Linked DNA regions of Elephas maximus indicus. The protein of the gene in region 1 binds, or shares a complex with, the protein of each later gene. Links are inferred from orthologs where the notes say so. Each region holds a gene or a part of one and is shown on either strand. Other genes may lie near its edges.

The links.
Region 2: PIGC (region 1) and PIGY share a complex: the UniProt entries of both Homo sapiens proteins name them as parts of the glycosylphosphatidylinositol-N-acetylglucosaminyltransferase (GPI-GnT) complex. The link is inferred for Elephas maximus indicus from reciprocal best matches to the Homo sapiens genes PIGC and PIGY.

Annotation. Positions count from the first base shown.
Region 1 is NC_064821.1:210,810,388-210,814,141, forward strand, and holds the start of PIGC (phosphatidylinositol N-acetylglucosaminyltransferase subunit C), read left to right. Parts: upstream 1-1,336; 5' UTR 1,337-1,624; intron 1,625-1,661; exon of another isoform or gene 1,662-1,911; intron 1,912-2,660; 5' UTR 2,661-2,868; coding exon 2,869-3,754. UniProt on the Homo sapiens protein: Part of the glycosylphosphatidylinositol-N-acetylglucosaminyltransferase (GPI-GnT) complex that catalyzes the transfer of N-acetylglucosamine from UDP-N-acetylglucosamine to phosphatidylinositol and participates in the first step of GPI biosynthesis.
Region 2 is NC_064823.1:66,838,160-66,841,004, reverse strand, and holds PIGY (phosphatidylinositol N-acetylglucosaminyltransferase subunit Y), read left to right. Parts: upstream 1-1,460; 5' UTR 1,461-1,477; coding exon 1,478-1,693; 3' UTR 1,694-2,234; downstream 2,235-2,845. Other genes in the region: PYURF (protein preY, mitochondrial), read left to right, coding at 1,242-1,383. UniProt on the Homo sapiens protein: Part of the glycosylphosphatidylinositol-N-acetylglucosaminyltransferase (GPI-GnT) complex that catalyzes the transfer of N-acetylglucosamine from UDP-N-acetylglucosamine to phosphatidylinositol and participates in the first step of GPI biosynthesis.

The DNA of each region.
Region 1 (3,754 bases):
TGGCTACTCTATAAAGACTGGAATTGCATGGCTCTAGGCTCTTGATGATTGAAATTTGAAAATTTCAAAACAAACTAAGGCAAAGTAAAAAAGGTGGGGTGAAGAGGGAGAAGGAGGCCAGGGCGTGTCTAGAAAGGTAGCATCCAGGGGCAAAATTCTCTGGTAGAGTTAAGATGTGGCAGTAGAGAGGGAAGTTATTTCGGACAGTATCTCCCCAGGCCATGCCTGTACTCAGTGCTCACTTCTGTCTGGGGAATACAGGCTATTTCAGGTTTTTGTGCACTTGACTTGGGTTTCTCAACTGCTCAGGCTTGCCCTTCTGATAACTACTCTCCACCCCTTATTAAGAAATCATCCTCTGTGAGACCTTTCTTGAAACCGCTGCCCTCAGAGGCTGAGCTGTTACCTTTTGGGAAGGCTGAGCACTAATGGCTTGTTTGTGAAGCTGGCCTCACTAAGCCAAGGAATCTTGTCAAATTTTGGAACAGAAACCTGAAGAGAAATGCAAAGAGGTTATTTTGTAGAATTTGTCACACTTGGCCCCTGCCATTATTACAATGATCAAACTAATCTGAGAGCAGCCATGCTTTACAGTCAATACTTTACAAAACATTTTCATGTTTTATATTTGACCTTTATAACCATCCCATGAAGTAGCCAAGAGCAAACACTGTTGTCTTCATTTAACAGATGAGGAAATCAAAACTTCCCCTGAGTCACAGAGCTAGTACGTGGCCTCAGGTCTGCTGACTTTTGTGTCCAGTATATCTTGTGTTCTACTGTATCTTTTTGCTTCTTAGTGCTTTCATCTGTTTATTCATCCTCTAATATTCCATGAGCACGGAGGACTATTAGCAACCTCCCGTGTCAAGCCTCTGGCTATGTTTTCAGCCACAGGGTCCTCCACTCTCACTCATTCCGGGAGCCAAAGAGGAAAGCACCAAGGTTTGAAACTAGAGAGAACTGGGTGTTAATCTCGGCCCATCCACTCTCCACCTGCGTGGTCTTGGACAAATGACAGTATCTCTGAGCCTCAGTTTTGCCCTCTACGAAAGGAGCACGATTTCATTACTTTGAAGGTCAAAGTGGAAGAAAGCAAGCCCCACGAGTACAGGGATTTTTTGTCTGTTCCACTGACTGCTTTATCAGGAGCACTTGGGAACAGTGCTTGACGCTTGTCCGTACTCGGTGAATACCTGCCCAAAGAACGCACGGATGCGTGGAATTCCCAAGCTGAGGACCGGGCTTAATAACAGGAGCTCAGTAAAAGAATTATTATTATTTTATATTATTATTATTAATTATTATTATTATTCTCTCTCGTCTCCCAGCCAGCGTCCACCCCTATCCTCGCCCGGCCCCCCACACCCCACTACCTCTTTCTGTCGGGATTAGCTTTCCCAGGTGCCCAGCGTTCGGCTTGGGACCAGGCGCAGGGCGAGCAACCAGCAGGGGGCAGCAGCGTCCTCGCGGCGCTCCCTGGGCGGAGAAGGACGCTCTGGCCGCGGAGGAGGTGGCGGACCCGGAAGTGTTCCTTCGCCGTCGCGACCCCGGCGCCCCGGATGGGGAAGGAGGCGGGCGGCCGCCCTCTCCCGGCCGCGCACCCCTGGGAGCCCGCGGGCAGGTGGGTTCCTAGTGGACGTCAGTGTTTCCGGGTCCCCTTCTCCTCTGCCATCCCCCGTAGGCCCAAGGCTGGATGAGAGGCGGCGGCAGGCAGGGGAGGCCCGGGAGGGCGGGAAGGGCGCCCCCAGGGCCACCCTGCCTCCGCCGCGACCCTGAAGGCGGGCGTTGCCCACATCGGCGCCGCACAGCGGGTGGCTGCGGGCTGGGGTCCCTGCTCCAGTGCGGGGGCGCCCAGGGTGTCTGGCTTGTGAAGCAAAGCCTATCGTGGTCTCCATGGAAGAAATAAAGGTTGGGCAGTAAGAATTTTCTTCGCGGGTTTGCTGGATTGGCCCTGGTGTTTCTGACTTTTTCCCGTTGTGGAAAAGGAGTGATTTTTTTTTCCGTCCTCACAGGAGTTTCGCGGTTTTAAGTCGGACCGTAGCTCTTCAAAGGATGTTCAGCTCGGTTAATGGTTGAAGAATCTTTAGTTCCTTTGAGCCCTTGGTTTTGGGTAAATAAACCGCAGAGCTCATACCTTTCCGTATTGTGCGGTTTACTGTTGACTTTAGAGCGGCCCCTCTGAAGCCCATCCACGGACTCTGGTATGGGAACCAGCAGTGAGGAGCTGGCTTAGAGGGAGACAGGAGGTGAGGCCCAGGCTTTGGGATCAGACTAGGGTTTGAACACTGGCTCCCCAGTTTACCACTGTGTTACCTTGGGCTGAAGTTACCTAAGCAATTGGAACCTCAGTCGTTTTCCTAGTTAAAGTGGAACTAATACAACTTGGAAAGATTATGAAGATTAAATGAAAGATGGTACGTAAGCCACCTAGCACATAGTAAAAAATACAGGTACTCAATAAATGCTAGCTAACAGTAGTAAGTATTATTGTTCAAGGAATTATAATTTTAAAATGTGAAATGCAGTTTAAATGTCCATAATTATGAAATGGCTACTACTGCTCAGACTTTTAGTGGGTTGAGTTGGTTTGATTTTTAACTCAGTCCTATCCTTGACCTTTCACAGCTTTTGTAGGTTCATAGTCTCTCTTTTTCTAGGAAGTTGCTGTATTGTCCTGCCTCAGAGAACAAGCTCAAGCCTAGCCTGGGTTGCTGCCTTTGAAAGCAAGGGAAGGTCTGTAAAATATCAACTACAGCACAGCATGGAATTTCCAGAGAACTCTTATTTCAAAACTTCATAAAGAACCAGAACTACATGGACTTCTGCGAGGGAGACTGACCTGGCCTGAGCTTGAGGGAAAGGATAATGTGTGACCAGCCAGTAACTAACACCAAGGAGGCCAGGTGGCAGAAGGTCTTGTATGAGCGACAGCCGTTTCCCGATAACTACGTGGATCCACGGTTCTTGGAAGATTTCCGGAAAAACATCTATGCCCGGAAATACCAATATTGGGCTGTGGTGTTTGAGTCCAGTGTGGTGATACAGCAGCTGTGCAGTGTGTGTGTTTTTGTGGTTATCTGGTGGTATATGGACGAAGGTCTTCTGGCCCCTCACTGGCTTTTTGGGACTGGCCTGGCTTCTTCATTGATTGGCTATGTTTTGTTTGATCTCATTGATGGAGGTGAAGGGCGGAAGAAAAGTGGGCGGACTCGGTGGGCAGACCTGAAGAGTGCACTAGTTTTCATTACTTTTACATATGGTTTTTCACCAGTGCTGAAGACCCTGACAGAGTCTGTCAGCACTGACACCATCTATGCCATGTCAGTCTTCATGCTGTTAGGCCACCTCATCTTCTTCGACTATGGTGCCAATGCAGCCATCGTATCCAGCACACTGTCCTTGAACATGGCCATCTTTGCCTCTGTCTGCCTGGCCTCACGCCTGCCCCGGTCCCTGCATGCCTTCATCATGGTGACATTTGCCATCCAGATTTTTGCCCTGTGGCCCATGTTGCAGAAGAAACTGAAGGCATGTACCCCTCGCAGCTACGTGGGGGTCACACTGCTTTTCGCGTTTGCATCCTTGGGAGGCCTGTTATCCATCAGTGGTGTGGGAGCCATACTCTTTGCCCTTCTGCTTGTTTCCATCTCGTGTCTCTGCCCTTTCTACCTCATTCGCCTGCAGCTCTTTAAAGAAAACATTCATGGGCCTTGGGATGAAGCTGAAATCAAAGAAGACTTGTCTAGGTTCC
Region 2 (2,845 bases), on another chromosome or scaffold:
CGGCGGCCATTTTGTGGGCCCAGGCCCTGCTGAGCGCCCACGCAGCTTCTCCTGCGACCTGAAGGGCGAAAGGAGACTTGAGGCGAGCCGAGCCCCAGGCCTCCCAAATTAGCCGCCGGCCCGCCGGAATGCATCGGAGCGTTGATAGGTGCTCTAAGGAATCACCAGGGTGCATTTGCGGGGGGTGGGGGACGTTGTCTGGGTACCGACACGAGCGGACCGGGTCGGAATGCCTGGGGGCGGGGCCTGGACGTTTGTTTTTCTGAAAAGGACCATGGATGATTCGTGAAGCGTTCAGGTTTTAAACCCACGGTGATGAAAAATATGCTAGTAGCTTATTTTTGTGAAATGGCCGTGTACAGCTACTGCCTAACGGTATTTTAAAAATTTGAGCTTTGTTTGCTGCCCTTTGGCTCTTCACTCTGAACTAACTGGTTATTGCAAATGCTCTCTTAACCTTTAACATAGTCTTTGCTAAAGCGGCTGTACAGTTCCAGCTATTAAAACTGAACATTGACAACGGTAGTGTTACAAATTGCATAAACTAAACACCAAAATGTTAACAGTGATTATACTTGGGTGCTAGATTGCCGGTAATTTTTATTTTCATCTTTTTGCATTTCTCTTTTACTAGTGTGCCCTATAATTAACATAACGGTCATTCAATTTTTTTTAAACCTTTAAATTATTGTTGGGTCTGTCTTTTAGCTAATTGTGTAACTCGCTCACTTTAGACTTGTTTCCAAAGTTTCCTCATTTCTGCCCTCCCATCGTTCTCAAACTTTTGTGTATTTTGATTTTTCAGCGATTTCCATCTAGTGGATCAGTTAGGATACTTTACTGAGCATTTATTCTTAAATCAGGAAATTGAATTTTTCTCTAGTTTCTGTTCCAGTAGTAAATGGATTGGGATGGTTTTGGGGTTAGCCAGAGGAATGAAGGGATGTCTGGATGAAAAGAGGAAATATTTTCTGAGCAGTATGAGAGAAAACTTTTAACTAAGGCATGACTTGGGAATACAGTAAAAAGAGAATTTGAGAGAAATTGATTAAAATGGGAACAATTACAGATTTTATAAGAGAAATGGTAATATTGGCTATTGCTGCTTTTAGAATTAAAGAATACAGTTCAGTGTTAACTCTGTCGAGAATTGGACAAATAGTATTATTTATTGAATATCAAGGTCTTCCAAGAATTTTGTTTTACAAAATTCGCTTTGTGATTCTTTTCTTTTTTCCTAGATACGAAGCATCGACAAATGAATTGATTAATGAAGAGTTGGGAATAGCATATCCAGTCATCGATGGCATTCCTAATATGATACCACAGGCAGCTAGGATGACACATCAAAATAAGAAGAAAGAAGAAATGGAGCAGCACTAAACCATAATTTTTTTAAAAAAAAGAAAACTGAATTCTCTTAATATCATTTATCTTTTAAAAAGTCAGAGTGGCGGGTAATAAGTGTGGAAGAAGAATGTTTCTGTCTCTTCCTACGTTGACTGTCCTTATTCCGCTGGTTTCTTTAGCAGGACTGTTCTACTCAGCCTCTGTGGAAGAAAACTTCCCTCAGGGCTGCACTAGCACAGCCAGCCTCTGCTTTTATAGTCTGCTCTTGCCGATTACCATACCGGTTTATGTGTTCTTCCACCTTTGGACTTGGATGGGTATTAAACTCTTCAGGCATAATTAATACAGCCAGATCCAAGATGGTCTTGGGCCTTTCTCTGAAAGTTCAACCAGATTGAAATACTGGAATCCCGTTTAGTTTGCAGGAAAGGTACTTTGCCTTGCTTCTGTCAGAAGCTTAGGACTATGGGAGGCTTAAGCTGCAGGAGCTTCTTTTATTATACTCTTGTTCTGCCCTTATTTTTTCAAAGTTCTGATTTATAACAACTACTACTATATCAGAAGAAACATTTTGACAAGTGTCTTGGAAATTAATAGCCTCATCCATCAGCTGATAACTTTATACTTTATCCTACTCGTCTAAAAAGTTAGTCATTTGAAATGTTGTTTGGTTATTTAGATTTAAGCTGTTTAGTCAAGTCACATGCTAGGAACGATTGAAACAATTCCAGAGAAGCTGTGCTAGAAGAGTTCTAAAGAAATGCCTTTGAACTGGTGTGATATAAAACCTTACAATAAAATGGAAATTTCACATACTTAGAAAAAATCTTAGTTTGTAAAATTATCTTCATTTCTTTGGCATCACATGCTTACATTAATAATAATAAAATAAGATGTCCACACTTTCCCAAGTCGATTCTGACTTACAGGGTTGCTATGAGTCGGAATCCACTCGAAGGCAGTGCGTTTGGTTTTTTTTGCGGGGGGGGGGGGGGGGTGGGTAGTGCTTTTTGTCACAAGAGTGGTATAAAGGGAGAAAAATTGTAAAAATGTTCCAAATTTTAAAATGTAGGCTATGTTGAGAGACATGTACTTTGGACATGCTGTAACAAATACCACAAGTGGATGGCTTTAGCAAAGAGAAATTTTACTTTCTCACGGTCTAGTAGGCTACCTACCTGTTGCCATTGAGTTGATTCCGACTAGAAATCCAAATTAGAAATCCAAATTCAGCTCGTCAGCTCCAGCTCCTTGTCATCAGTCTTCCCCTGCCTAGGAGCTTCTCCCCACAGAAACCCCTGGTCCAAAGGACACCCTCTGCTCCCAGCACTGCTTTCTTGGTGGTATGAGGCCCTCAACTCTGCTTGCTTCTGTTTGTTTTATCTCTTGTAAGGTAAAAGGTGGTACAGGCCATACCCCAGAGGAACTCGTGTTACATTGGATTAGAGATGTGACCTGAGTAGGGGTGTTCCATCCCACCCTAATCCTCTTTCAC